Linked DNA regions of Bombyx mori. The protein of the gene in region 1 interacts with the protein of each later gene in a biochemical or structural test. Links are inferred from orthologs where the notes say so. Each region holds a gene or a part of one and is shown on either strand. Other genes may lie near its edges. The genes, in order: transcription elongation regulator 1 and U2 small nuclear ribonucleoprotein auxiliary factor 2.

What was found.
Region 2: the proteins of transcription elongation regulator 1 (region 1) and U2 small nuclear ribonucleoprotein auxiliary factor 2 form a complex in vitro, tested with the Homo sapiens proteins (2 studies listed by BioGRID). The link is inferred for Bombyx mori from reciprocal best matches to the Homo sapiens genes TCERG1 and U2AF2.

The regions. Positions count from the first base shown.
Region 1 is NC_085130.1:19,196,388-19,212,607, reverse strand, and holds the start of transcription elongation regulator 1, read left to right. Parts: upstream 1-416; 5' UTR 417-923; coding exon 924-1,099; intron 1,100-4,930; coding exon 4,931-5,258; intron 5,259-5,975; coding exon 5,976-6,126; intron 6,127-7,335; coding exon 7,336-7,473; intron 7,474-7,926; coding exon 7,927-8,022; intron 8,023-9,024; coding exon 9,025-9,221; intron 9,222-9,628; coding exon 9,629-9,764; intron 9,765-11,357; coding exon 11,358-11,432; intron 11,433-16,220. UniProt on the Homo sapiens protein: Transcription factor that binds RNA polymerase II and inhibits the elongation of transcripts from target promoters. Regulates transcription elongation in a TATA box-dependent manner.
Region 2 is NC_085123.1:10,722,828-10,739,545, reverse strand, and holds U2 small nuclear ribonucleoprotein auxiliary factor 2, read right to left. Parts: upstream 10,576-16,718; 5' UTR 10,451-10,575; coding exon 10,435-10,450; intron 10,361-10,434; coding exon 9,788-10,360; intron 9,512-9,787; coding exon 9,429-9,511; intron 8,355-9,428; coding exon 8,232-8,354; intron 8,122-8,231; coding exon 8,034-8,121; intron 7,947-8,033; coding exon 7,793-7,946; intron 6,952-7,792; coding exon 6,867-6,951; intron 6,127-6,866; coding exon 5,995-6,126; 3' UTR 5,280-5,994; exon of another isoform or gene 5,278-5,279; intron 4,326-5,277; 3' UTR 4,234-4,325; intron 3,252-4,233; exon of another isoform or gene 3,246-3,251; 3' UTR 3,101-3,245; downstream 1-3,100. UniProt on the Homo sapiens protein: Plays a role in pre-mRNA splicing and 3'-end processing. By recruiting PRPF19 and the PRP19C/Prp19 complex/NTC/Nineteen complex to the RNA polymerase II C-terminal domain (CTD), and thereby pre-mRNA, may couple transcription to splicing.

The DNA.
Region 1 (16,220 bases):
TCAAAGTCATAAAAACAAAAGGATTGGGGGAGGTGGAGAAATTAACAGATTCGCAGGAGATCCATGGTAATAGATGTATCCCGGAGATTGCGGTTAAAGTAGCATTGTCGGTGGCCGCTTGTACCAGATACTTCTCTAGTGGCGACCACACATCCTAGTGCGCATGGCGCCATGGCGTACCGATTTATGAGACTTCCCACGGACAAGGTGGACGACGACTAGTCATCGCTTAGCAAAGGCGACATGTTGTTTGTCAATTTCTTAATTTTTGAAAAGGAGCTTCTTATCGCACGTTTTGTTTGATAATAAAATAAGTTACATCATTATTCTAATGGACAAATATATTTGTTGGACAGTAAAATTTGAGGGGACTGTGTTCTGTAGGTGAGGGGCTATTTAAAAATACTCTGGTTCATGGTTAATATAATTATATTGCAAACTCTTTGTACACTATTACTCCATTATAATATTTTATTTTTATAAAACTCTCACATGTTGCTTTGACCGTGTCTAGATGAGAAGTCATTGTCTTCACTGAAGAGAAGACAATTATTTGTTTTAAACATTTAAAATAATTCCAATATTCGAAATCTGTAACCTTACATGTGTCAAGTGTTGCCAGCCATTATTTTCATATTCAAACTACAACAATATTTATTTCATAAAAGGCTCAACCTAAAGTATCCAATCTCCAGTAAATGAAAACAATTTATTTCAGAATCGACTATTGACCAACGACCGATTTTAGATTATAGAGACTAGCTCTAGTGAAGCCATCGGCGGCCATCTTGACGGCGCCATGTTTTGACTTTTAATTTTCATGCGCTCGCGGAACTTAATTCTAGTGCGTATTACTTCAAGTGATAAACTGTTTTAGGCATGTGGACATAGTATTCAGTGAAAAACGATAAATAGCTCACATAATGGAAGATGGTTATATGGAACAGCAGGACGTGTCGTTGAACGAAGTTAGCCGAAGCGACGCACCCGAAGCAGAGGCTGGGAAGGACTTCGCCGAATACACTGGTTATGAAGAAGGTTACGAAGAGGAAGACGGCGGTAACAACTTTCGCGGTAATCGGGGCCGTGGGAGCTTCAGGTGAGAAATTTACGTTAAATGTCCTCTAACTATGACTTACAAACAACACACAGCGAATATGTACCTGTCGTTATAAAATTATCGATTTTTGCCTCTATTATAAAATGGTACCCGAAAACTTGAACAACTCTTTATCAATGCGGTAAACTATGTCCTTGTTTATCTATCAAATTTCCCAAATGAATCCCAAGAGAGCATGAGAAACTTTACAAATACGTTTATCATTTATTTTACATGTGTTTTCTGACTTTGTCGGCTCGTGTATTGTCATTTAATAAAATTCATGTATAATCGTTCTGGAAACAACTCGACGCGTAAATAATACAGTATCCCGAATAAATAGAAGTTTTATAATGTTTACTGCAATCTCCTATGTCGACCAATCCTGAACTCATGCACATTTCGGATACTGAATTTTTTTTTGTAAATTTAAGCTTAAGTTATTCAGTAAGTACTGTAATTATGGAACTATATTTATTTTTTACAAAACACCAAGTGCTTTCGCTATTTTGTCATTCAAAGCTCTCAATTGAAGTTAAATGAATATTGATAGTTAAAATCTCGTGTTGATGAGTAAACCAGTTGAATCGTACCTTTGCTTTGCGGATTTTATAGCTTTTAGCAAAATTTGCCAAAAAATACAGTGCAGTGGAAAGTTGAAAAGAATATCATTAGTAGTTTCAACAGAGTATCCACGTTATTCCTTATCATATTAATTAAATATTGCAATAGCGCAAGCTCATCAAGCATTAAGCTCTTATATAGGATGCATTTTATAGCTGTATGTGCATTCTACTTAGTTCTACTGAGAAGTAGTTATGAGTCAATTCAATTGAATCTGAACTCACAACAAGGTGGGTGGAAGCAATCACATAGTGATGTGAAAGAGCTCTGGTCACTAAAAGAGTGAGTCTACCTATCAACACAATAAAAATATAAATAGTATTAAAAATATGAAAGCTCATCTTTGCCTTTACCACAATCCTGTGTTCAAACCAAACTGAATTTTGATATAATATCGACGCTTGAAAGGCAAAAGTCACTAAGCGACAATAACTGCTTTGTACATAAATGATAGGCAATAACCATATTCGATGCGCAAAAAAAATATTTTTCTAGGTCTATTAAAATCATTTCAGTCCTACAGCTACTAGCTAGATTCTACTACAGCTAGATTCGTAAAAATAAATTTTGTTTGCAGGTATTTCAACTTTAAATTAGTCTACTGTAAAATTCACGCATTGTTGCTTAGTCACGTTTGCCTTTCAAGCGTCGATATGTTATAGCATTGTTTGTGTAAACTGTCACTGCATAATTAAATTGCAATGCTAATTGTTGTCACTAACCAAATAAAATGCTAACTCATTAATGGAAATTTAAATTAAGTACAATCTAGAAATATTTATTAATAATATTAATAGTAATAAAGATAGTTTAATGCAGCAATTACTGTGAATGAATGCTGATTCAAGAGATGACTACTTATTTATCAGAGCAGAAGCAACCCTCTTCCAGCTTGCTGTATAACATTCTTATTAACTCAGACTTCAATAAAAATTAAATTTGATATGTATGAAGAAGGTGGGTATTTTTTACATCTTTAATAATGGTGATGTTATAAAACTTTAATGATAATTATGTGCAGCATAAAAGTTTTGCTAGAGGGTGAAAAGGATGATACGATGCACCCTATGTAGCCAGGAGCTTGTAGTCTATCTGGTATGAAGTGATTAATGGACACATTGCTGTCTTCATGAGACATGAGAATAACAGTCCCACTCTTTAAATCATGACTGTTTTTGAGCAGAAGTGAATAGAGTATTACCCATACAAAACTATAAGTAAACTAGTCAGAGAAGTAAAAAAAACTAATAGTGATCTTAATCTATATATATAAAAATGAATTGCTGTTTGTTAGTCTCGCTAAAACTCGAGAATGGCTGGACCGATTTGGCTAATTTAGGTCTTGAATTATTTGTGGAAGTCCAGAGAAGGTTTAAAAGGATAAATATGTAAGAATAGATAAATATGAACATGCTCCAAATGACAATTTTGTTTTTTCTTTGGTGTGTCCCCTGTCAGACGGATTCCTTTTGTTTGTTTTAAGTTTATTTTATACAAAAGTTTAGGTCTTATTTATCGATTGAGGCACTACGAAATCTGCCGGGTCAGCTAGTATTCCAATATTTCTGTTAATGTTCATATTTGTGATTTAGAAATAAAGTTCCCTTTGTTCAACTCATGCTGCCACTGTTTTTTGATTATTTCGAATAAGATTATCATTATTATCCTTAAAGGAATATGTTTATGTTATTCACATGAATTTAAAAAAGATACACGTGCAGTGTGTTTTGGATTACTCACCTGGAGAATCTAGTATAACCCCTCGGGGTTACTAGTATAGGTAGAAAAAAGTCTTTTGGTAAATGTTTGAAATGAAGATTTATTGATAGTATACAATTACTTTTTTAATTGGCATGTAATGCATTCAGATCTCAAGTACATAGATAAGATAAGATCATTTGATTGGAAAATTTCATGTGATTAAATATCATACTTAATTCTATCACAGAACTGGACGCAGCGACATGTAACCGACCCACCTTCAAACATAAGTTTTAAGAATCTTGCAATTGAGCAGTGTGTTCCCACCAAGACGTAATATGTAATTGCGAATGGACTAGCTCAATTGACTGGATTGAATAATGACAAACAATTTGCTGTGCTTATGTATTGCAATATGTATGCTAGGGGGGCCTGCATATACTGGATCAGGTCTTTATACATGTACTTACTTCTTGGTAATTTGGGGTGATGATCAGCTACATAGAGTCTACCTGATATGATATCTCATAGGTTGTCTGCTTGTCCAGGATGCCGATAATAATTTGGAACAATTTGTAGAAAATAGAATCTTAGTACCAATACATGGGTGAGACCTAACATAATAAAATATAAAAAATACTGGGTCAATGCTGCAATGTCCTTTGTGATACAAGGATTTAGCTTCACTTCAGACTATAACTCCACATTATATGAATTTAAAAAATCACCATTTTAAAAGTCACACTACTGACTTATAAAGGAACAATTAAGTAAAACAGAGCTTCTTTGGCCTAAGTACATAACAAATGGAGGTCAAATTAGGATATTTTCTTTTTCAATATCGTTACTACTGTATTTGAGTATTGTTACATCAACCATACAAATACATTGAAGCACATTTAATCCAGCACATTAAAATCAACCTATCAGGATTGTTGCAGAAAACAAACAATTTTTTATACCTGTATATCATGAGTAAAAAGATTTAATCTTAATTTCATTCTGTTCAGTACATATGGATGTTGTCTCGCATACAACTATTTTTATTTTTTTTTTAATTTTTTATTGCTTTTATGTTGGACGAGCTCACAGCCTATCTGGTATTAAGTGGTTACCGGAGCCCATAGACATCTACAACGTAAATGCGCCACCCACCTTGAGATATAAGTTCCAAGGTCTCAGTATAGTTACAACGGCTACCCCGCCCTGCAAACCGAAACGCATTACTGCTTCACGGCAGAAATAGGCAGGGTGCTGGTACCTACCCGCGCGGACTCACAAGAGGTCCTACCACCAGTAATTACGCAAATAAAAATTTTGCGGGTTTGATTTTTATTGCACGATGTTATTCCTGCACCGCGGAAGTCAATCGTGAACATTTGTGGAGTACATATTATACAATTGTAGATGAAAAAGACAAAGTTTATGATGGCCTTGTTGGCCGAATAGGGTTTCCAAATGTTGCGGTTGTCGTTTCAGTTTATTGTTAACATGCCATTGTTATAGAAGCCGTGGTCGCGGCCCCCCGCCTGGTTGGATGAACGGTCCGCCGCCGCCTATGCGATTTCGTGGACGCGGCTACGGACCCACAGGACCTCCAATGCGCGGACGAGGCTTCTTCAGAGGACGGGGCGGACCCCGTTTCGGACCCAATGGACCGAATTTCGACAACAATTGGGGACCGATGGGTCCCCCGCCTCCCAACATGATGTGTCCGCCGCCCTTCGGCCCCCCTCCCGGCATGATGCCTCCCGGGGGGCCGATGGGTCCCCCTCCTAATATGATGAATCAGCCCCCATATGGAGGACCACCTGGTATGCCGCCCCCTGGTATGGTAAGTCGATATCAAAGATATTATTTTCTGCTTTATAAGTATTCTTTGATTGTGTTGAATATGTGATACACAACATAAACCATTGAAAGAGACCTGATTGGAAAACAATATCTAATCAATACTTTTAAACAAAATCACTAAAAATATGTACTACATTTAGAACTACTATTTTAATGATGGATATAATGAAGAGTGCACCCCGCACATTGGAAGCATCTGCTATGTGACTCTTTTGTCTACAACTGAACATCAGAGTTCAATGTTTATGAAGGACTAACTGTATCGGTCTGATTCACTGGGCATTTAAAATTAACATTATTATTTCTCACCTGCAAAAAGAAGCTCATCATTAACGCCCCCGTAATTGGTGTAGGGAGTCCAACACTCATATAAATATTAGCCTATCTATTAAGTGCATGTATTTAATACATGGATACCAAGTTTCAAGTTAATCGGATGCATGGTTCAGTAGTTATAATTGAATATCCGTAAAAACCACTGTAGATTTATATGTTAGTATAGATATAGATATGCCCATATGGATTGCAATTGTAGGTGATGATAGTTGAACTAGTAGTTAGTTTAATTGAAGTGAACTGTGTGGACGGCCACTTCTACTTTGTTAGAATCAGTGTTCTAATTTGAAAAGTAGGATGATCATGTAATTGGAGAATTGTAATTCCATCCCTTACAAATGTATTTTGTGTTTATTTGCAGAACCCTGAAGTATGGGTGGAAACGAAGACAGATGAAGGCAAATCATACTATTACCATGCTCGGTCCCGGGAAACTACATGGACCAGGCCAGTGGAGGGACCGAACTGCAAGGTCATCACACACGGTGAGATGGAGATACTGGTAGCTTCAGGTCGGTAGCCTGTTACAACCTTCTCTTGCCTGTTATCCCCCTAGGTGCCTCAATAAAATATTGGAGAATGCAGCTTGTATCAATGATCCAGTTTTGATTGGCTTATTGTTTTATGAGCAGCCAGTTGTCCGACAATGACATTCCCTAAGAATTGTAGACTTGATTGGCTCATCAGGATGAACTGGGGGAGAAGGTTCAGTTAGGCAGAGGTTTGGCTCTGCCCCTGGCATTGCTGAAGTCCATGCGCAACGGTAACCACTCACCATCAGGTGGGCCGTACGCTCGTCTGCCTACAAGAGTAACAAAAAATAAATAAATAAGAAAATAAGGTGCAGATACAGCAGATTTAATTTTATTTCATTAAAAATTAGTCAAGCTCACAGTCCACTCTGTGTGAATAAAGCATCATGGAGTCAACGAATCACTTGGAGTATGCGATGGCTGAGGAGCTCAATTGTTGTGATATTGATTATTTCTGTATTGATCCTGCCTTGTAAAATTCAGTATAGAAAACATTATCTGTCTAAATGCTGAGGTGGCACCAACCCATAGAAGATAAATTATTATTGGACTGTTTAAATAAAATTATTGACTGACCAAAAATATTTTAAACTGGTAATAAAACAAACGGTATTTTGGATAGTAAATTTTTTGTGGTGACCCTTCACCATCAGAATGTCTTTATGTATTGTATATTATTATACTTGATTGTCTACAAAGGCAATACAATACTACTTTCACAAAACGTCTAAAAAAAAATTTTTAAGAAAAATTTAACAGTCTTAAGTGATTCTATTTTCCGCTGTGTTATGGGCAGTAAGCACACCCATGTTTCCCCACTGTCCCAGTTCTACGGATTGCAGCCACCATACTATACTATTCAACTTTGTTTTTTTTTTTATCACAAATGGGTGGTCGAGCTCACAGCCCACCTGGTGTTAAGTGGTTACCGGAGGCCATAAACATCTACAATGTAAATGCTGCCACCCACCTTGAGATATGAGTTCTAATGCCTCAGTATAGTTACAACGGCTGCCCTACCCTTGAAACCGAAACGCATTACTGCTTCACTGCAAAAGCAGGCGGGGTGGTGGTACCTACTCGTGCCGACTCACAAGAGGTCCTATCTTTGTTGTGCCTTTGGTGTTGCTGATTTCCATAAGCGATCGGGTGTGCGTGGTGCGCGTCAGTAACGATATGTTGTTGCAGGACAAATCCCCCAAATATCGGCACAAGGGGTCGGCATGAACGGTCCCATGGGCCAGGCGCCGCTCGTGATGCCCAACGGCATGATGCTGCCCGGCGCGCAGCACCAGTACATGGGGCCGCCGCCCTGGGGGAAGGACGGTGAGAGACTTCCATCTCCAATATACCACACTTATACTATACATAGTTCATATTTATTTACTAAAGATGCCACTCATGAAAACTGAAATAAGTATGTAATACAAACATTGCGTCTGTAATCCAATCTATATAATAAACTAGCTGACCCGGCAGACTTTGTAGTGCCTCAACCGAGAAATAAAAGACCTAAATCTTTGTATAAAATAAACTTAAAACAAACAAAAGGAATTCGTCCGACAGGGGACACATCAAAGGAAAAACGAAATTGTTATTTTTATTTAATTCCGAGCATTCTCATATTTATCTACCTTTTAAACCTTCTCTGGACTTCCACAAATAATTCAAGATCAAAATTAGCCGAATCTGTCCAGCCGAGTCTCGAGTTTTAGTGAAATTAATGAACAGCAATTCATTTTTATGTATATAGATAAAAAATACTAAATTAAATTTCAGATAAAGACAAAGCCTCTGAGTCTGTAGTGAGCAGTATGACTGATAACGATGAAATGCCACCGGGAGAAGCAGTCCCTGGACAGCAGCAAACCAATGGTCAGCGTAGTACAATTCACACTTGTTACTTTTGTATTTATTGATTGACTTTATAACTGACAGAGTAAAAAGTAAAAACCACATCTTTAAAATGCAGTGAAAAATAGTTTGTTGTTTCATAAAATGTTTTTTTAATTTTTTATTGCTTAGATAGGTGGACGAGCTCACAGCCCACCTGGTGTAAAGTGGTTACTGGAGCCCATGGACATCTACAACGTAAATGCGCCACCCACCTTGAGATATAAGTTCTAAGATCTCAACTATAGTTACAACGGCTGCCCCGCCCTTCAAACCGGAATGCATTACTGCTTCAGGGCAGAAATAGGCAGGGCGGTGGTACCCACCCGTGCGGACTCACAAGAGGTCCTACCACCAGTAACACAGTTTGTTCACAAACACTACCGGGGTAACATCTACAGTACACAAAATGTTAGTTGTTCAATTAAATATATTTTATCACAATCACAAATATAAATAAAATTATCCATTCTTGTTACTTTTTTCATTGAATGTATGTTAGGTGCGGGGTATTGAATGTCAATTTGTATTTTAATTTTGGGGAAAAGTAGCTTACAGTGCACGGACAATGTGAACTGTCTATTATGATGAATACGGTGGCTCATGTTGTGCCAGACTTTAAATGAGTATCACTACATAGTATAAAACAAAGTCGCTTTCTCTGTCCCTATTCTAAGCGGCTTGGCTCTTCCCCTGGTATTGCTGAAGTTCATGGGCGACGGTAACCACTCACCATCAGGTGGGCCGTATGCTCGTCTGCCTACAAGGGCAATAAAAAAAAAAAACCTATGTATGCTTTAAATCTTTAAAACTACGCAACGGATTTTGATGCGTTTTTTTTTAATAGATAGAGTGATTGAAGAGGAAGGTTTATATGTATAATAACATCCATTAAATAGTGGAGATATCAATAATAAATTACAGTTTCCGAAGCGAAGCGAGGGCGGGTCGCTAGTTTGTAATAAAACTGAACTGTATCCACAGGTTACAACGCATACCAGCAGGGAGAGTCATACGGGCCCCCGGGCTGGCCGGCCTGGGGCTGGCCTCCCGCCGTGAACAACCCCAGCAACCCCGAAGCGGCCCCGGGCGCGTGGCCTAGCAGCGGCGCCGCGCCGCAGTGCGAGCCCGCAGAGCAGCCCCGGGCGCCGCCCACCGTGCCCATGCCCAAGAAGGAAACCGTTCGTATACACATTACTTACGTCTTTTTTTTTTATTGCTTTGATGGATGGACGAGCTCACAGCTCACCTGGCGTTAAGTGGTTACCGAAGCTTAAAGACATCGGTAACATAAATGCCACGTCACCCACCTTGAGATATAAGCTCTAAGGTCTCAGTAGAGTTACGAAGGCTGCCCCGCCCTTCAAACCGAAACGCATTACTGCTTCACGGCAGACAGAAATAGGCGGGGTGGTGGTACCGATGTGTACCGGTGGTACGGATGCGGACTCACAAGAGGTTTTACCACCAGTGATTATGCAAATTATAATTTTGCGGGTTTGATTTTTATTACACGATGTTATTCCTTCACTGGAAGTCGCCCTCGAACCGTTAGCGTTCGTGAGCTAACGATGCTTGTGGCTTGCAGGTGATCTCGCCCAAGCTGCTGGAGCTGGCGGCGGAGTGGACGAGCCACAAGGCGCCGGACGGCCGCCCCTACTACTACAACGCCAGCAAGCAGGAGAGCGTCTGGGAGAAGCCCGCAGTGCTCAAGGAACTCGACGGTACGCGACGTGCTACTCGTTTAGGGAACAGTAGTTCACGCTTTTATTTTTGTTGCTTTAATGGATAGACGAGCTCACAGCTCACCTGGTGTTAAGTGGTTACTGGAGCCCATAGACATTTATAACGTAAATGCGCCACCCACCTTGATAAGTTCTAAGGGTCTCCAGTTACAACGGCTGCCCCACCCTTCAAACTGAAACGCATTACTGCTTCACGGCAGAAATAGAACCCGTGCGGACTAACAAGAGAACGTCACTTGTTTGTGTGCGGACTTTGTTGACAGATATAAATCTTTGTTAGATGAAAAGTAATTATCACTTATGTAACGTCGACCTAGAAGATATAGATTGTTCATCACGTGCCGTGAGAGCTCAATGCAAGCGATACCACAGGAATCCCATTTGTCAAAGAACCGCATATTCAGTGTGTGCACTCAATTCGTATGATCAATATATACATATACGGTTACTTCCTGGTGTGAACCCACACGGGCAGGTACCGCTACTCTGTTATTTCTGTCGTGAAGCAATAATGCTTTTCGTTTGAAGAGTGGGGCAACCGTTGTACTACTGTGGCTTAGAATTCATGTCTCAAGTTGGGCGAAGGCATTTATGTTGTCGTCTATGGGGTTCGATAACCACTCAATACTATGTGAGCTATATTTTTTTTTATTGCCTTTGTAGGCAGACGAGCATACGGCCCACCTGATGGTGAATGGTTACCGTCGCCCATGAACTTCAGCAATGCCAGGGGCAGAGCCAAGCCGCTGCCTACCGCCTATGCTCGATCAAAGCAATAAAAATAGTTGCATTTTTTACTGTTTTGTTGCCAGCCTTATATTTGACTTTACGGTACCTTGTGATAACATAATTCAAGGTTCTATGGAGCAATAGTTGTTTGTTATGTTCAAGTGCTCTCTGTTCCGGAACCATTTACTTGAACTCATTTTTCCGGCAAATACATTATTAGTAGTATTAACATTAATAGTAGAACACTAGCTACAGTTTTCGGCTTGATCTACCCTCTATGGGATACCCGGTGTCGTATTTCTTGTCATCATGTTTATTGCTTTGAATGAAAACGAAAAGTTTTTTAATCTCAAAGCGTGAAGTTAGTCCCCATTTGAGCACTTAATGCGGTATGCAACATTTCGAAATCTGAGCAGCCTTACAGAGGGATAGTACTTGGGCTGTACAAAATAATTTATAAAATAAACAGGTGACATTGCAAGGGGCACCATGCCACGGGTTAACTTATTGAGGCACCGACTTCTCTTTCTTTATGATGACATCCCCATACCAAGTGACTAAATTTTATCTCCACTATTAAAAAAACAAAAATACACTGAACATTTAAGAAATTTTTAAAATTGGTTTCTTAATTTAGTCTATAAAAATATTTTTTAATGAGCGCTCATTACTGAAGTAGCTATGTACCCAACACGCGTTCACATACTGCAATGCCACTGGCGGCCGCCCGCTTTCTGTACATCCGTCGTCACAGTTTCTTGGATATTTAATTTGAAGGCTTTTGGTTTGGTTGTGCAATACGTTGCTTTTGTGAATAACATAAATTCGTTAATTTGTCTGCAGATATAAAATCCTTGATAGCCGCCGAGAAGGGCGAGAAATATCCTAATATAGAAATAGATCCCAGCAAAATAGTGGGTGAGTAGGCAAAGTGTCCATACAACCGCCACACTCGCACTTTAGTTCACTGCAGCTAACAGACGCACAAGCTACACCCCTCCACATATCTGTTCCTCCCCCCTCACTCACTCTCCCACTGACTGCAGCTAACAGACACACAAGCTACACCCCTCTCCACATATCTGTTCCTCCCCCCTCACTCACTCTCCCACTGACTGCAGCTAACAGACACACAAGCTACACCCCTCTCCACATATCTGTTCCTCCCCCCTCACTCACTCTCCCACTGACTGCAGCTAACAGACACACAAGCTACACCCCTCTCCACATATCTGTTCCTCCCCCCTCACTCACTCTCCCACTGACTGCAGCTAACAGACACACAAGCTACACCCCTCTCCACATATCTGTTCCTCCCTCCTCACTCACTCTCCCACTGACTGCAGCTAACAGACACACAAGCTACACCCCTCCACATATCTGTTCCTCCCCCCTCACTCACTCTCCCACTGACTGCAGCTAACAGACACACAAGCTACACCCCTCTCCACATATCTGTTCCTCCCCCCTCACTCACTCTCCCACTGACTGCAGCTAACAGACACACAAGCTACACCCCTCTCCACATATCTGTTCCTCCCTCCTCACTCACTCTCCCACTGACTGCAGCTAACAGACACACAAGCTACACCCCTCCACATATCTGTTCCTCCCCCCTCACTCACTCTCCCACTGACTGCAGCTAACAGACACACAAGCTACACCCCTCTCCACATATCTGTTCCTCCCCCCTCACTCACTCTCCCACTGACTGCAGCTAACAGACACACAAGCTACACCCCTCTCCACATATCTGTTCCTCCCCCCTCACTCACTCTCCCACTGACTGCAGCTAACAGACACACAAGCTACACCCCTCTCCACATATCTGTTCCTCCCTCCTCACTCACTCTCCCACTGACTGCAGCTAACAGACACACAAGCTACACCCCTCCACATATCTGTTCCTCCCCCCTCACTCACTCTCCCACTGACTGCAGCTAACAGACACACAAGCTACACCCCTCCACATATCTGTTCCTCCCCCCTCACTCACTCTCCCACTGACTGCAGCTAACAGACACACAAGCTACACCCCTCTCCACATATCTGTTCCTCCCCCCTCACTCACTCTCCCACTGACTGCAGCTAACAGACACACAAGCTACACCCCTCTCCACATATCTGTTCCTCCCTCCTCACTCACTCTCCCACTGACTGCAGCTAACAGACACACAAGCTACACCCCTCCACATATCTGTTCCTCCCCCCTCACTCACTCTCCCACTGACTGCAGCTAACAGACACACAAGCTACACCCCTCTCCACATATCTGTTCCTCCCCCCTCACTCACTCTCCCACTGACTGCAGCTAACAGACACACAAGCTACACCCCTCTCCACATATCTGTTCCTCCCCCCTCACTCACTCTCCCACTGACTGCAGCTAACAGACACACAAGCTACACCCCTCTCCACATATCTGTTCCTCCCTCCTCACTCACTCTCCCACTGACTGCAGCTAACAGACACACAAGCTACACCCCTCCACATATCTGTTCCTCCCCCCTCACTCACTCTCCCACTGACTGCAGCTAACAGACACACAAGCTACACCCCTCTCCACATATCTGTTCCTCCCCCCTCACTCACTCTCCCACTGACTGCAGCTAACAGACACACAAGCTACACCCCTCTCCACATATCTGTTCCTCCCCCCTCACTCACTCTCCCACTGACTGCAGCTAACAGACACACAAGCTACACCCCTCTCCACATATCTGTTCCTCCCCCCTCACTCACTCTCCCACTGACTGCAGCTAACAGACACACAAGCTACACCCCTCTCCACATATCTGTTCCTCCCTCCTCACTCACTCTCCCACTGACTGCAGCTAACAGACACACAAGCTACACCCCTCCACATATCTGTTCCTCCCCCCTCACTCACTCTCCCACTGACTGCAGCTAACAGACACACAAGCTACACCCCTCTCCACATATCTGTTCCTCCCCCCTCACTCACTCTCCCACTGACTGCAGCTAACAGACACACAAGCTACACCCCTCTCCACATATCTGTTCCTCCCCCCTCACTCACTCTCCCACTGACTGCAGCTAACAGACACACAAGCTACACCCCTCTCCACATATCTGTTCCTCCCCCCTCACTCACTCTCCCACTGACTGCAGCTAACAGACACACAAGCTACACCCCTCTCCACATATCTGTTCCTCCCCCCTCACTCACTCTCCCACTGACTGCAGCTAACACACACACAAGCTACACCCCTCTCCACATATCTGTTCCTCCCTCCTCACTCACTCTCCCACTGACTGCAGCTAACAGACACACAAGCTACACCCCTCCACATATCTGTTCCTCCCCCCTCACTCACTCTCCCACTGACTGCAGCTAACAGACACACAAGCTACACCCCTCTCCACATATCTGTTCCTCCCTCCTCACTCACTCTCCCACTGACTGCAGCTAACAGACACACAAGCTACACCCCTCTCCACATATCTGTTCCTCCCCCCTCACTCACTCTCCCACTGACTGCAGCTAACAGACACACAAGCTACACCCCTCTCCACATATCTGTTCCTCCCCCCTCACTCACTCTCCCACTGACTGCAGCTAACAGACACACAAGCTACACCCCTCTCCACATATCTGTTCCTCCCTCCTCACTCACTCTCCCACTGACTGCAGCTAACAGACACACAAGCTACACCCCTCTCCACATATCTGTTCCTCCCTCCTCACTCACTCTCCCACTGACTGCAGCTAACAGACACACAAGCTACACCCCTCTCCACATATCTGTTCCTCCCTCCTCACTCACTCTCCCACTGACTGCAGCTAACAGACACACAAGCTACACCCCTCTCCACATATCTGTTCCTCCCCCCTCACTCACTCTCCCACTGACTGCAGCTAACACACACACAAGCTACACCCCTCTCCACATATCTGTTCCTCCCTCCTCACTCACTCTCCCACTGACTGCAGCTAACAGACACACAAGCTACACCCCTCCACATATCTGTTCCTCCCTCCTCACTCACTCTCCCACTGACTGCAGCTAACAGACACACAAGCTACACCCCTCCACATATCTGTTCCTCCCCCCTCACTCACTCTCCCACTGACTGCAGCTAACAGACACACAAGCTACACCCCTCTCCACATATCTGTTCCTCCCCCCTCACTCACTCTCCCACTGACTGCAGCTAACAGACACACAAGCTACACCCCTCTCCACATATCTGTTCCTCCCCCCTCACTCACTCTCCCACTGACTGCAGCTAACAGACACACAAGCTACACCCCTCTCCACATATCTGTTCCTCCCTCCTCACTCACTCTCCCACTGACTGCAGCTAACAGACACACAAGCTACACCCCTCCACATATCTGTTCCTCCCCCCTCACTCACTCTCCCACTGACTGCAGCTAACAGACACACAAGCTACACCCCTCTCCACATATCTGTTCCTCCCCCCTCACTCACTCTCCCACTGACTGCAGCTAACAGACACACAAGCTACACCCCTCTCCACATATCTGTTCCTCCCCCCTCACTCACTCTCCCACTGACTGCAGCTAACAGACACACAAGCTACACCCCTCTCCACATATCTGTTCCTCCCCCCTCACTCACTCTCCCACTGACTGCAGCTAACAGACACACAAGCTACACCCCTCTCCACATATCTGTTCCTCCCTCCTCACTCACTCTCCCACTGACTGCAGCTAACAGACACACAAGCTACACCCCTCCACATATCTGTTCCTCCCCCCTCACTCACTCTCCCACTGACTGCAGCTAACAGACACACAAGCTACACCCCTCTCCACATATCTGTTCCTCCCCCCTCACTCACTCTCCCACTGACTGCAGCTAACAGACACACAAGCTACACCCCTCTCCACATATCTGTTCCTCCCCCCTCACTCACTCTCCCACTGACTGCAGCTAACAGACACACAAGCTACACCCCTCTCCACATATCTGTTCCTCCCCCCTCACTCACTCTCCCACTGACTGCAGCTAACAGACACACAAGCTACACCCCTCTCCACATATCTGTTCCTCCCCCCTCACTCACTCTCCCACTGACTGCAGCTAACACACACACAAGCTACACCCCTCTCCACATATCTGTTCCTCCCTCCTCACTCACTCTCCCACTGACTGCAGCTAACAGACACACAAGCTACACCCCTCCACATATCTGTTCCTCCCCCCTCACTCACTCTCCCACTGACTGCAGCTAACAGACACACAAGCTACACCCCTCTCCACATATCTGTTCCTCCCTCCTCACTCACTCTCCCACTGACTGCAGCTAACAGACACACAAGCTACACCCCTCTCCACATATCTGTTCCTCCCCCCTCACTCACTCTCCCACTGACTGCAGCTAACAGACACACAAGCTACACCCCTCTCCACATATCTGTTCCTCCCCCCTCACTCACTCTCCCACTGACTGCAGCTAACAGACACACAAGCTACACCCCTCTCCACATATCTGTTCCTCCCTCCTCACTCACTCTCCCACTGACTGCAGCTAACAGACACACAAGCTACACCCCTCTCCACATATCTGTTCCTCCCTCCTCACTCACTCTCCCACTGACTGCAGCTAACAGACACACAAGCTACACCCCTCTCCACATATCTGTTCCTCCCTCCTCACTCACTCTCCCACTGACTGCAGCTAACAGACACACAAGCTACACCCCTCTCCACATAT
Region 2 (16,718 bases), on another chromosome or scaffold:
TGGGCGGTGATGATCCTTATTAGTAGCTCCTATACGGTGACACACATTGAAGTCAGCAGCAGAGGTGTTCAGAAGCATTTTTTTATGCAAAATATCCAAGATGGCAGCGGTGCAGTCTTCGTTTTGAACTTCAGGGACTCCCAGAAAGATGAGGTTTTTTCGACGATGTCTGGTCTCGATCGCATCAACCAGTCGAGTGCACTCACCAATCTGCTGTCGAAGAAGTTTCAACATAGAGAATATAAGTTCCCGGAATGTTCGGAATTCCTCCGCAACCTTGGAGACTGTATCCTTCGCAGGCCCTCCAGCATGAAGCTGTGCCTCAAGATCGGCCATTCTTTTCGTGAAGCACTCTTCCAAGTTTCTTTGAGCAACCTCAATCGCAGATAATTGCGACATAGTTATGTTTCTGTTTCAAGGGGTGCTGGCAGGTGGTATTTTTATTGGCTTAAATCATACTTAACGACACACAAAAGGATCACAAAATCTTTATAATGTAAATAAAATGAATTAATTTTAATTTTCAAACTTAAAGCACTTGTTTCACTTTTGACACCTACTACCTAATTTGTTATAATTGCTTGTTGACTTTGTTGCCATTGCTATTTGTTGAGTGTTTGTTGATTTTTTTATAAAAAATACACTATGCCGCGACAAACTGGTGTAGTATTCAAAAGAAAGGGTAGAAAAATTGTGTACGACGTATATTGCTTCATTATAAAACAGGGGAAGAATAATATTATGGAAAAAGTAAAACAGACTTCGGAAGCAACAAAAACATCAGTGAGTACTGTTAGGTGCATTATTAACGAAGCTAAAGGCTCTGGCTTGCTCGTCGTGCTTGGGACTCCGGGTAAGAAAAGATCAGGGAAGAAGAAAGTTACCGGAATGGATAGTTTCGTTCAATCTGTAATAAAAAGATGTAATCATAATAACTACATAACAAGCAGCGAAACTCCGTACCGTAGAAAGGCTTCGAAAATTTTAAAGAAGATATACATTTTAATGGCTCGGAATGAAGCTTACGACGAATTATGAAAGAGCTAGGCTTCAGATGGAAAAAAAAAAACAGAAAATAATCGGAAGCTGGTAATTGAAAAAAGTAACATTCGATTACTACGAATCGAATATCTTCAAAAAATAATTAATTATAGACAAAAAATAAGATCGAACCGACCGAGTCGTAAACTACACCGATGAGCCCTATGTCGACTTATCACGATGATGGCGACTCGGGTGATGAAAACAGTGATGATGATAATAGTCAAGATTATGATAACGAAAAAAAAATTACAAATACCAGCTTCGCTTCAACTGAACGAAGACCTGGCAACAGCTCTAGTTTTGACTTAATAGAAGGAATATCTATTTTACCCCAAGATTAAATTATTACAATTATTAACCTATATTTTTTGTTGATGTTCTAATAAATATATAAATAAATACATATGTTGATTTTAATAATTTAATTGCATTATGACGCAGAGTAAATAATGTTTTTGCACGTGAGTGTACCATGCGCAAACTTACCCCCACTACGTCAACAAATACTCAAGAAGTTTGCCGGCTATTATAAATATGTAACCGGTACTGAAAGGCTTGATGTCGCCGCCATCTCACAAATTATCAACTGTATTACTAGATATACTTTAATGTATTTTGGCTCCAGTCACCGTAAGCATTTCGGGCCTCTTTGATGTTGGTTTGTAGAACGACAATAGGGTCTATGAACACAAAGGTAACCGTTGGCCACATTGACATTTTGACAAAGAGCGATCGGATGAAAGCTACGCTCCTCGACCCGGCATACACTACCGATACACACCTGGGCAACCCGAGGGTATGAGTTATGGCGCCATTAACTAGATTGCCTAGAGGCAGAGCTGGGCAGTTTATTGTGAGAGTTGCTGATCATATCACCGGCGACTGTTGATCTGGCGTTCCGTGGTGCGGTTAAGCAATTTACGTGAGCTATCACAATTGTATCTCTGTATATGAATCGGATGCTCAGGTAGAAAAGCGACACAAGGATTATTTAATAGGTTCAACCATACCACAGCCCCAACATGTAGCGGATGATCCATCTATATATTCTAATTCGTTTTAGTGGTAAGCAGCGGCTTGACTGTTTCACCATCAGAATATCTATCTGGTGGACTGCGTGTTCATCTGCATACATGGGTAAAAAAAATACGCAACCAAAAAGGCGCGTCCTGTCTACCCATTTAAACAAAAGTATTCGGAGAACTCGATATAGAGACCATCGATTTAATGAAGTCAGATTTAAGTTTATTTAGTCATAATAATTGTGATCTGTCGAGCGATCTCTTATTAGCCTTGTTCAATTTGTACTAACGTAAGGGGCTCAGTAAAGAGGCACTTGTTATTTGTTTCTTTATCAGTTTATTTTTATAGATGGGAAAATGAGTTCACGGCTCAACTAGTGATAATTAGTTCTCGACACCCATAGATATCAATCAAATGAATCCATCCTGTAATATAAAGAAGAAGTCTCAATTATAAGTTATATGACGGCATACCGACTATAGACTAGACCTACCTTTCAAACCCGAACGCATTACTGCTTCGGTAAAAATAAGTAGGGCGGTGGAACCTACCCGAACGGGACACGAGACACCTTACTACCAGTTGCTACGCAAACTGAATTTTTTGTTGGGTTGTTTTTTATTGCACAATATTATTCCTTCATCGTTGTAGTCGTTCTTGAACACGTGCTATGTATTTCCTTAGATAAATTAACATTTGCCTGTGGGATTTGAACACCGGTATGGTGGTATCGTTTGATACGAATAAGTTAATCGGGCGGCTATGACGAATTCTTTACGTATTGTTCACTTTTGATTTTCTTTGCTATTTTAGTAAGTATACCTAGGTCTAAATCTAACAGTATGGACAAGTAAAAGTTTTTTGGATTCATGTATCAAATACGATCATTTTAAAGGTTTTATTATATTTATTTTATCACTGTAGTATTCTATCAATGAATATACAGAATAATTGAGTCACACAGGATTTCAGAAAGCTTCGTTTTATCTCACAAATGTGAGTAACCAAGTTATCTTATCTAAAGAGATAATAGCTCAACGCTAAAAATGTACATGTTTTTCTGTATTAGTTTATCATAGGTGTTGTTAGTGATTGTGTTTCTCTATTGAGTATTTGTGAAAGAAAAAAAATCAATAAAATGGCACAGAAGAAATCTGTTTTGTTTTACTTCGCTGTGATTTTAGGTACGTATCTAGAGTAAAATTTGTTGTAGTTAAGGACCTAAAGTGAAATGTGTTGCGGAGGGAACATTACTGCATTGTATTTTTTAACTTTTAAGAGTTTGAAAGGAGCTCTTTCCCTAATGTTATATGTGTACTCAACACCCAATTAAATATCTTAGCTTTGACGCCAGGTGACTTAAAAGAGTAATAGCAAATGTTACTTTTGCATCACTATAATATACACGTATCAAGTAGGTACTGTGTTGTTTATACTGCCAGTAACCTACTTAATAGATAAGGAAAAAGGTAGGTACTAAAATCAAGACTTATGAAGGTAATGTACTTAAGTAGTTTGATAATTTACGTATAGACACACATAGATAGATAGATATGTTTGGGAAGAAGAAATGTACCAACCTTTAGTTTGTTGGGGGTTATGACTATCAGTCTGATAAAGCGCATTGATTTTAATTTAATCGTCAGTCTGAATGAATGACATTAAAGGTACGGGGTACTTTACAAATAACGGCTAATCGTGAACATCACACACTTGAAATTAAGTAGGTACCTAGATGATTCAAGAAAAACGGAAACTTGTAGGTGACCATTTTGGTTTTCTATTTTTTTCTCCTACCTAAGCTGATGGTTTAGAGAGACCATATCAGCGTAGCCTGAACTAGTAGGTGAGCTCACGGGGCTCGAACCGGACGATGTTGCTAATACAAACCCTAGCAAGAGCTGTGCTTCGCAGAATCTACCACTAGATCGGAAACGCGACCCACTAAGAAGATCCGGCGAGAAACTCAGTGGGTTAATTTACTCGCCGAGCCCTTCGTCGCAAGCGACGGGTTCGATGAGAATGATGACCGGGGCATTTTGGTCGCGAGTGTATTGGCGAATTTTATTATTAATAGTTTTAGCGGAAAAAAACAAAAGTTAAGAATTTAACAAAAGGGTATGTTTGCCTTGCCAATATGTGCAATAATAAATTATTTTTTATTATTTTTAGTTATTTTGAGTACACTTACACAAGAGGTAGAAGCCAGAAGAAAAATTCTTAGAGGAAGACGTGTTATGACCCGCACTTACTACCGTAAGTTTATCTTCAATATCCTTGCCGGAAATCAGATAAATTCGTTAAATTCCGTAAGTTACCGTATCTTCTGATAGTAGGACGTTTCTGCGAACCTGCACGGTAAGTGCTACTAAGGTACCTACCTAGTTATGAGGTACCTAGCTATTATTTCCGAGAGGCAATTATATCAGTCCGGTTTTGACGGAACAGTCGTTCTACAATAAATTTCAACCTCATATCTTAAGGCAATATCAAGTCACCACTCAGTAACTGATCTGAGGAGGTGATCCGGTTAGCTCGTGCCTATCGAGACGAATAGAAAGTCTTATCTTCAGTAATTATCAAGCCAAAAAACTGGGCAATCGATGATGCCGATGGTATACACCTAATCAGTTATAGAGGTCGCTGAAAGATAGCGTAGCTATTGCGAAAAATACAAATACAAATGCTGTTTTGAATACCCGGGGAGTTTGCGCTCCGAAGACCGAAGTGTGAGCTGCGTTTGATGAACTCAAAAAGTGCAAAGCACCAGGCGCTTTTCACTTTGTCAGTGTCTTGAGCAAATAAGGAACACGACTAGCGAAAAGTTAACTAGATGGCTTCTTTTTGCTATACAAAGAAACCAACAAAACATACTATGCGTTTTATTCAAAACATGGGTCAACTTATATCAAGTAAGTTCATCTTGCGATCCACTATAGAACATCCTTTCTCATCTGCTAGTCATTTCTAGGTCAAAATGTATGAGATGATAACATTTGCCATTCACATATTAATTTCGATTGGTCAGTAGTAGTCACAAAACATTTTCGTCTTGACTTCGTATCAAACTATAGGGCGCTAACATGAAAATAAATTCACAAATTTCTTATATTTTAATTTATTTTATTTTTATAGAGATCGCGTGTTGTGTAGGTTGATTAAAATAATCAATCAACTTGCGTGCTCAAAATTCATTTTATTTTATTACAGGTGGCAATGCGGTTCCCGCGTGGGCAATTAGCTTGATGGCTGGAATTGGAATGTTGATCATCGGTGGCGTCTTATATGTAGTTATGAGGAAACTCGTTCTATCTTCGGAAACGGGTTCACTGAATACTTACCAACCTGCTATGCAGCAAGAAGTATAAAACTACAGTTTTTTTTTTTATAATGTACCTACGTTAAAACGATTCGAATTTGAAACTTTTTAATAAAAACACATGATTCGAGATAAATTTATTTATTCATAGCAGTTACAAACGCGCAATATACTTTTTAGTTAATACTTAACATGTCAGTTGTAGTGAATTGGTGACGAAAAGCATGATGCTCCAATTCACATGCATTTTGATAGATTTAATCTCTGTCGTTTGTTGAATGTGCTACTAGCATGTGTCATGTATAGGTCTTGTGAAAAAAAAAAAACTTTTATTTTCAACAAAACGTGACATTTTCAATTTATAGAACTTGTAAAATTAATTATCAGTCGTAATTGAGTAGATCACAATTAAATCTGTTCATTTGGTAGTTAAGAACTCACTTTTACAATGAATCGTTACAAGCATTTATTTTTAAATTTAATTTGTTCTTATATGTTTTTAATGTAAACTAATGAAAATTAAACTTCTTTCAAAAACAATGTTGAACATTTTCTTACACGCTAGTGCAACAGGACGAAGTTGAAGTGACGGTAAAAAAAATATATCTTTAAAACTCTCTGCGATGATATTTGTCAGGATCGAAGTAGGATGTGACGACGACTCTGTTACTGAACTTGCGTCCTGTGAGCGTCTGCTGCGCTTTCTGGCAATCTGCAATACTGTTGAACTCGACAAATACCTGATAAAAAAAACGTTTTTTAACAAAAAAAATGTGGATTTTATTCGTTTATTCCAGTCTTTTTATTTATTTATTGCTTTGATGGTTGGACGAGCTCACAGCCCACCTGGTGTTAAGTGGTTACTGGAGCCCATAGACATCTACAAAATAATTGCGCCACCCACCTTGAGATATAAGTTGTGAGGTCTCAGTATAGTTACGACGGCTGCCCCACCCTTCAAACCGAAACGCATTACTGCTTCACGGCAGAAATAGGCGGGGTGGTGGTACCTACCCGTGCGGACTCACAACAGGTCCTACCACCAGTAATAAATTCCATAGTCGTATATATGGACCTCTCTTATGTTGGTTTATTACAATGTGAATGTCACCACCTACCTTGAGATATGAGGTATCTATAACATTCAATTGTTTAGTGTATGTACTTAACGACTTTCCTACTAATTCCTAAATGAAAACTTCACGACAGAAATTTAAAGTGTGGCATGTTTATGATAATATGATATTTGAGTTTTGTAGAAATCATCTCATATTATTTCTTATAGCTACATTTATAGACTCGATTATTTCGTATAATTTTATTTTTATTATTTATCTCAGTTTAAAAATATGAGAATATTTTGATGAGCTTGTTATATCAATTTGTACAACTAATTTATTTTGACCTAAAAGTACATAGAAGCAGTAAGACATACTCAATTATGATTTCCAAACCATTAATTTTAAATATAAATATTTACCTTGCCGCATCCAGGTACTTCGACTCCTTCAATTGGTCTTGGAATTTCTATACTACGCACAACACCATATTTGTTGCATTCCTCCCTGAAATACCATATTTTTAGTGAGTCTCATATTCATTTTTTATAGCTAGGAATGTACAGTAATAATTACATTACTAATTCTTTTTTTGTTATTGATTTGATGGGTGGACGAGCCCACGGCCCACCTGACGTTAGGTGGATACCGGAGCCCATAGACAACAACAACGTTAACGCCGCCACACCCATTGAGACATGAGTTTTAAGTCTCAGTTTTTACAGTACAATGGCTGCCCTATTCTTTAAGTCGAAACGCATTACTACTTCACGGCAGAAATGGACAGTATTGTGGGACCTACCTAGGCAGGTAATCACACAAATTGGGATTTTTGCAGGTTTGATTTTATTACTCAATGTTATTTCTTCGCGAATTTTTGTTAAGGTACACAGGTAAAGGTTTTTTTTATTAAAAAAAAATTGATTGAGTATAAAAAAGAGTTCCATTAAAATTGTAAACTATAATTTTCAAAAAGAAAGAAGTCTATGAAAGAAATCATTTTTGTTGTTTCATTTATATGACTTGTACTTATGTTCCATGCAGTAACAATTAAAAAAAAGCTTAAATAAATGTGAATAGTTTATCAGGAAGTTATTCTTATTTCTATTTTATTTATTTATTTTTATTACATTATGAAGAATAATGTGTTATGAAAAACGAAATGCTTTATACACTGCTAAAACTAATATGAAATCTGAATTGTTACTTTACTTATTGGAACTGAGGTACCAATATGAAGATTTAATTTTATATTCTTGTTCTGATTTTGAACATTTTTAGATGAAGTTTAAGTGTGCATTTCATGTATTAGTGCTTGTGTGTGTGACATGTACAAAATGTTACTTACTTTATATCTTCAAGGATATCTTCATACTCCTCTTCATCACGCAATTCATCAGGTGTTACCATGTTAAGAAGGCACAATACTTCAGTAGGTGGACCTGCTCCAGCCAAGGTCAAACCTGCCACTTGGATTTGCACTGGAGCTGCACCGGTCAGTGCTGAAAAGTATCCCATTTCTATTTAAAATCTTTTATAATTTCTATTCTAAAACTAAAACATAGGTCATATTCTGTATTAAAATTTACCTAAAGTTGAATTCTTTGCGCCTATACTGGCACGTTGCACAATCAACTTTTTATCTCCAAGTTGCATTCCATTTAAACCTGCAATAGCCTGTGAAAATAAAATTAATTTATGATTTAAAGTTTTTTTAAAAATTAAATTGGCCTTAACTATGCAAAAGCCAATAAATTAATAAATTGGGTGACATAATGATTATTTACCTGATCTGTCATAGAAATGTCGACATATTCAGCAAAAGCATAGCCTTTGCTCAACCCAGTTGAAGAGTCTTTCACCAAATTGAAGGCCCGGAGTTGACCAAATGACATGAGTAATTCCTTTACCTGTTTCATGACAAAATTAGTGAGCAAATAATAATCTTTTAATTCCCAGCATTGTATTAATTTACGTTACATATTCATAATGATCAGCATAGACATTTCTAATGCTAATGTTTTTTGTATTGTATGTTTGAATTGTTGTGTTCCCATTAAATCTGTTCATCAAAATGCAGCAAATTACATAAGTGAATTATGCTATCTGACCTGTGTCTAGCCGCATGTTAGAATCAGATGTGAATGGAAGAGACTTGCCTTGAAGTGCCGATGTCTCGTTCAAGTACAAGACGTATAGATGAGAATGAGAGACAACAGTGACACGCGGGCCGCGAATGTGCCAAATCTAAGCTAGGGAGGGCAGAAAGCAAACTATATCAGTGAGTTGTTTGAGAACATCCGAGCGTGGTACGCACACGCTCGTCCACGCTACGGGTACCTGAAAATACCTGAAACGGACCAAAACATAACGCGGCTCACTGCTGGCGTCACCGGGGCCTAAGTCCTGTCAACTGTTGAATCTCGGCCTGAAATTGTTGCGGCATCTAGTACGCTATAACTACCTACTGGGAACGAACAAACTCATGGTTCTTTTAATGTCCTAACATTACCTAAAGTAGGATTTTGAAATAACTATTATAGTCCAAAATACTTGAATTTGTCGATCTAAGAGAATTCTATGTTTATCATAACCAACATAATTATTATTTCCATTTTGTCTGGTCAAAACCTGTAACACACAACTCTACAAATCACAATGAGAGAAGAATGTTGTATAATATAACCATTTTTTTATTATCAAAAGGTTTCTTTTAGTGGGAAACATAAATCAACCATAATTTATGTGAATTGAGTTTTCATTTGGTTTAAAAATAAAAACTTTTTGGTAAGTAGTACTTATAAATAATAGCTTAATTTGATCACATCAAAAATACAGAAAATAAGTACCTCTACTTTAATCCAAAAACCATGTGTAGCTTTAAAAAACTCCAAACTTGATTTTGATCATGATGTGATTAAATTATGGTTTCTTGAATGCTTAATTTCAACTATAAATTTTAATAGATAAAACAAGGAACTTACTTGGTCCTCATTTAGATAATTAGGCAATCCCCCTATAAAGATCTTGTGTGGGGAATCAGGTACAACAGTGCTAATAACACCAGCTGTAACAAAATAATATTTGAATGAAGACACTAGTAATGAGTATTTTAGTTGTAATTAATGCTGTTTCAAGAGTTTAAAAAGAGCTGTAGAATTATAACAACAAAATTCAGTTTATTTTAAATATTGCATTTTCTTAATAAAAAATAGCACTTTCAATCGAGTTCAAGACTCATTACTTGATAGATAAATCTATAGTATCTTCTAATGTAGTTTAAATGTATTTTTATAAGAAAAGTTGTTTGTAATAACAATATCACAATATCATAATTACTTACCAGGCACATTTATTGCTGGGTTTTCAGTGCCTGGCATAGGCTGGTAGTCATGTGGACGTCGAATCTTTAAGCTTTGCCCTTTAAAATTAATACCGTCAAAAGCCATTGCCTGTGTCGTTTCATCAATTGATCTGAATTCAAGGAATGCAAAATTTTTATCTAAATTAATCTGGCAAGCCAAAACAGGGTTGCCGGCGGCCTGGGCCAGGCCCGATAGATGCATTTGTTGATTGAAAAACTCCATTGTTTCTTCTTCGGTGACGCCAAAGGGTATGTTGCCGACATATAACCTTCGCGCTTGACGTGTTATAGTCGAACCCACCACCGGCACGGCAGCTTGTGGTGTGTCGGCGACAATATTGGCAGGAATCTGACCCGCCGCTTGCATCGCCTTGTATTGTAATGGCGTGATATGCTCGAATCCCGGCGGCGGTACATCCCAGTAAAGCGAAGGCTTACGTCTACGTGAACGTTTATTGGGCGATCTTGATCTGCTTTTTCTTTTTTCTCTTCGTTCTCTAGATCGAGATCTAGAACGTTTTCTTTCTCGGGATCGAGACCTTCGTCGGCGGTCTGTAATATTTGTGAGCATTTTATTTTATAACCTCACTTCAAAACTTTACAAGATAGATATGTGAACTACTTACCTTTATCTTCCCCCATCTTATTTACGGAAATATGTAATACAGTAACTATTTCTTGAGATAGTAATAAAGGCGCTTCAGCGTTATTAGTATAATTAGCGTTGGCATCAACATAAAATCTAAGTCAGTTTCCGTGAAATGGCGTCTGTTATTTTTTTATACGGACGTTGGTTACTCGACTTTTGGCTAATGATGCTATAGTGAATTTCCTGATACGTAATCATCACTAAAATCCTATGCTTGCCCTAGGACAAATTTCGGACGCGAACGCAGAACTGGTGTTTCCTCAAGTATAAATGTGTAATAATGATAGCTAATTAATCATTGATGTGCCTTTGGAAAACATACAGCATTGTATTATGAAGAAGCAGTGTGTACTTAGCTTAGATTCCTTGTCTATGTCCAACCATAGACAGTCAATTTAGTTCCATCTTTAGCCGCTAGGTGCTGCCAGCAAGTATAAAGGGAGCGCAGCCATCTTTGATCTTCATAGCGTTGTGTACTTTCGTACTGTGAAGTCGCAAGTCCACAAATATTTATTCGACTTCTTATTAATTGCAAAAAATATTTATTTTGTGTTTCTATGAGTGTTATTTTGCAATCATTACGAGTATTATTTACCAATCCTATCATCGGACGCCATGAATCACGCGTCATCTGTTGGAGGTGATGTTGAGTCAAGCTCCATAATTTCCGAGAGGGAAGATGTCCAGGCGAGACGCGATGGAGACGCCTCGCGTTCGAACAGCTCGTCAAGCGAAAAAGAACAAAAGGAGTCTCTGCGTAAGAAACGACGGGATTCAAAGGTAACGGTCGATCTTCGAATCGGCTCGTTATCCCACCAGGTCAGTGACGTTGTAAATCTAATAATGCATCAACTGTGTGTAACAATTGAATGTAACGAAAATTGTTGTAAACAAATTGATCTCGTCAATACGGAAATTTTGACAAAAACACAACAGATTTAAACTAATAATCTTTGTAACATAATTACTGAAAACTTTGACAAATCGTCTCCGTCGTACAAGTTACCCGTAAAAAGCGTTTTAAATTGTATACGGAAAAAAGGGCCGTATGTATAGAAATAAGACGTCAAAGTTTAATTTCCGTGGTCTCTAACAAAGTATCCTGTTGCCAACGCGCCACTCATTGAGGAATTTTTGTTTGATAATAGTAAATTGAAATCTATTCAGTCCCTCGGAGGGCTACAATCCTATTTGTCACGATCTCGTACAAAAGGTAAGCCAAACATTATAAACAATCATAGTCCGTAACATCTGGCACAATCCAGAGGGGGGCAATTGAAGACACCGACGGCACTGAGGCACTGAGTGCCACCAAAATTGTAATAATTTGTAAACCATGTATGGTTACCAAATACCGTAAAAAAAAAAAAAAAAACAACAAAAAAAAAAAAAAAAAAAAAAAAAAAACTACCTTTTTCTGCGGAAGAAAAGCGACGGATCAATGCGTCCAATTTTCGATCTTCGAGAGTTGAACAAGGTCGTAAAGATAAAACACCTGTTTTCGGACACCTAGGTACCAAACTTTCTCCACCCAGGGGACTGGATGATAGAATTGAACATTTCTCAGGAATATTTTTCTAGTATCAGTCGCAAAATTTCGTCGATACTTCTTGAGGATCAGTACCAAGGTACCAGTTCAGTACCTCCAGGAAGGAATCGGTACCTTCTTATGAGTTAGTATGAAATGACATGCCTACCCTTCGGTCTGGCTTCAGAGCCACACCTTTTTGCTTTTATAACATGCGGGTCGCAGAGACCTTGCGTGCAAAGGGAACTCGAGTGCTAGTGTCTACTAGACGACTTCCTTTTTGGTCGACCAAGACAAATCCAAGTTGAAACTTCAGGCTGCAGAAGCTGTGAAGCTTTTGGATTAACCTTTTTTGCTTCCATAACATGCTGGGTCGCAGAGACCTTGCGTGCAAAAGGAACTCGAGTGCTAGCCTACCTAGACGACTTCCTTTTGGTCGACCAAAACAAATCCAAGTTGAAACTTCAGGCTGCAGAAGCTGTGAAGGTTTTGGATTATCTGGGCTGGCATGTCAATTTCCATTATATAGGGTGCTCGGTCGCTCGGTCGCTCGGTCGCGGAGATATTGCGTGCGAAGTCGAGTGCTAGCTTACCTACACGACTTAATCTTGTTTCACCAAGACGAATAAACGTTTTTGTTCCCATAGCATGCTCGGTCGCAGAGACCTTGCGTACATAGGGAAGTCAAATGTTAACGTACCTACGCGACTTTCTCTTGGTCCTTGAAGACAAATACACCTTTTTGCTTCCACAGCATGCTCGGTCGCGGAGGCATTGCGTGCAAAATCGAAGTGCTAGCTTACTTACACGACATGATCTTGTTTCACCTAGCTTACTTACACGACATGATCTTGTTTCACCAAGACAAATAAACGTTTTTGCTCCCATAGCATGCTCGGTCGCGAAGACCTTACGTACATAGGGAAGTCAAATGTTAACCTACCTACGCGACTTTTTCTTGGTCCATGAAGACAAATACACCTTTTTTGCTTGCATAGCATGCTCGGTCGCGGAAACATTGCGTGCAAAGGGATGTTGAGTGTTATCCCACCTACGCAAATCCCACCAGGTCCATCAAAAGAAGTCCAAGTTGAGTCTTCAGGCCACATAGGCTGTAAAGCTCTTGGATTATTTGGGCTGCCAAGTCAGCCTTACAAAAAATCAATTAGTACACTGGTTCAAGAGATGACATGTCTGGGGATTCGATGGAAAATTGCGAGAAATGAAGTGGCCACTCAACAACATCCTAGCTCAAACTCTGACGGTATTACATCACTCTATGTTAACTTGCAAATTTTCTTGCGAAGTTTCAAGAAAAGGGGTAAAAAACAGGCCATCCTGCATGTGTTAACAATTAAATGCAGTGCTGACGCGGAGCCACATGTTAGACATTGCCGATACACAAAACCAACCATTTCCTGGCAACGGAAGCTTCGGACATGTGTAGGGGTTACAAATGCAGTGCTGACGCGGAGCCACATGTCAAACATTGCCGAGACCCAAAACCAACCATTTCCTGGCAACGGAAGCTTCGGACATGGGTAGGGGTTACAGTTAGACAAAATATTAACGTCCTGTCTATGGTCAGCTCAACAACAGAAACGGCTCACCCACAAAAGAGCTATTTGCAATGGTAGTGACAATCAAAATGAATTTGAAAGTATTTCACTAACGTTGACCTTTCGATTTTTAAACCTAAGCAATAAGTTCAAGATAACTGTCAGCTTATAATCTCTCGGGGAGATACAACATCATAGCCGACAGGCTATCACGAGGAAATCAACCTGCGAAATGGCACTTTTTACCACAAGTGACCACAAAAGTTTTTCGAAAGTGGGGTCATCCAGATATAAACCCATTCGCCGACCAAGATTGGATACCTTCAGCAGACCGTAGAGGATGCAACTAGCATGGAGAATTCCTCCTCTCAACCTTCTCCCCAAAGTACTGACTCACTTCAAGTGTCTAGGGAACCTACCTGGTAGTGTTCCCAGACTGAACGAAAGCATTTGGGTTTCCAAGCCCTCAGATCCCGAACGCTAGATAACTCGCACGAAATCCAAAACCTGCCTCCTCCACAGGTTAAACATTAACCCTGAAAGCTTAGAAAGGGGGGGGGGGGGGAGGTTGTACAAATAATACTGGTCTAAACAGGAGAAGATTTATTGAAAATTAGCTGGTGTCAATCCACTTTGTCAGCATACTTACCAGCAACTAGAAGATGGTGCATATGGTGCTACAGTTTTAAAATTGATCCTAAGTCTGCAGATGTTGCCAAATTCTTTCTTCTTTTCCAAAAAGAAAATTTTGCCTATAAAACAATCCTTCTGCATCATAAAGCAGCGCTGTCGACTTTCTGTGGGCGAAATACATGTAGGACACCAAACATTCTCAAGCTCTCTAATAAAAATTGCTATTTTAAAAAAGCCATCGGAATGGCTAAACAAAATTCAACTACTTATTACAATTTTACTAAGTGTAGTCCCATTCACATGAGATCCGAGAATAGTTCTAAACTGGTTTTCTTCAAACCCAGCCACCACATCACGCCTCAATGTAGCTTGAAGGACACCAACAACCATGTTGCTGGCTACGGGACGCAGAGTTAATGACCTTACTTTGCTCAACATTTCTAAAGACAGTTTCTTTGATAACAGAGAAAAACATCTTTCTGATACCAGTCTTTGGGTCTAAAATTGAAATCCATTTTCGTCAATAATCTGCATAAGTGCTTTCTAAACATGAAACTAAAGACATGCCCGGTAAGATTCGTAAGGACTTTTTTCTAACTATGTGTGTTGTCACAAAAGCGGCATCCCGTACTGTAATTGGAAACTGGTCTTCGTTCAACCTTACGAGGTAATGGCATCAACGCATCTCTAAGAAGTTGTAGATCAGCAGTAGCCTCTGAGATGGATTGATAATGAACCAATGGACGAAATACTTTCTAGAGGCAATTGCAAATCATCCAAACGTTTACAATAAATATTGCCGAATAATAGAGCTTCGTAAAAATCCTCACGATTCTTTTTTTCAACACATTTACTTCTACATGATGTATATACATCATTTATACAATTTATACATTTTCTTGTATATAAAAGATAAAATGTTTAAACTTATAAATATTTTTTAATTATTGAATTAACATGGAAGTTAACAACTGTTTTTTCGATTTAATAATTATATAAATTATGAACATTATCATTGCGCTTCATAATTTTATTATGGCTTTACCTATTTCATCATAGCGTTGTGCTTAATAATTTCACCAGCAGATAACAAACACGTCTTCATAATACAATGCTGTATGTTTTCCAAAGGCACATCAATATTACGGTTTTACATAACAATAAAACCGATATTATGTGCCGAGAAGGAAAACATACAGCATTGCAGGAAGTTCTTCCTGGTGAAGACTATGAAGATCAAAGATGGCTGCGCTCCCTTTATACTTGCTGGCAGCACCTAGCGGCTAAAGATGGAACTAAATTGACTGTCTATGGTTGGACATAGACAAGGAATCTAAGCTAAGTACACACTGCTTCTTCATAATACAATGCTGTATGTTTTCCTTCTCGGCACATAATATCGGTTTTATTGTTATGTAAAACCGTAATACTAAGTATTTCTAAAAGTATACTGTGACATGAGAAAAGAGGTATAGTGGCAAGGCTGGCAGATGTGAAACATTGATATTATTTTGTACAGGTATAGATGCATAAAAGGATAGCTTACGACAGGAAATTCTTGTGGCGCAATGAAAATCAAATATTAATATTATGAAACAGTCGCTTGTCCATGGCGACGTGTTGCTACACCTTAAACACTACTACATATAGACTGTAGGTTTAAATAATATTTTATTATACTATCACATCTATGTCACACTAGCAATCGGTTTTATGTGCGGGTATTATATAAAGATGTTTCACATTAAAGCATGCGGAGACTTCATAAACAGAAAACTGCCCAAACCAAGTCAATGCTACCATATCTTATGGCCTCTTGAACAGTTTATAAAATATCCTGCTTTGGGAACATAACTAAGTGTATTTCTACTGTAAGCTATGCTGACAATCTGGGAGTTTACATTGTGGTAAAATTTCTGAATAGGCTGTTGGATCAAACTCAACAAGCCCTTGTGGTATTTGAGCGATGGTTTGACCAGAATCTAAGGCTCAATGACAATAAAACTGTCATAGGTATGCAAATGAAACAATTCATTAACCGGTTCCCACAATAAATTATTTTAACTTTGGGTTGCAATAAGCCAAAACTCTAACAAGTACACCAATGGAATTTTGTAAATTGCAGAAGCACAAACATTAACTGAATGTTTTGTGGTAGAAATAGGCAGGATGGTATATTCTTATGGTATACATATATATAATATACTAGATGAAACGAAAAAAAATACAGGAATGTTTTTCTGCGTGTTTTTAAAAATTATATAGTTATCTATTGTTAATCTATTGTTATCTATTTGTAAATCTGGTAATTCTATTGTTAATCTCAACAATCTTGGAAAACTAACTCATCTGGGCTAAAACATTCTGTAATCAGTGGCCGTAAACAAATTCTAAAAACAAAAACGAAGCTGCCTGCCACTCATTACTCAACCAATCATAATTGACTTTGAAATTTTATTTGTTTGAATGTGCTAAGACCATGGAGTTAATAAGTACCTACAACTGGAGTGCTGTCTAATGCCGAGAAATCGGTCTCGAAAG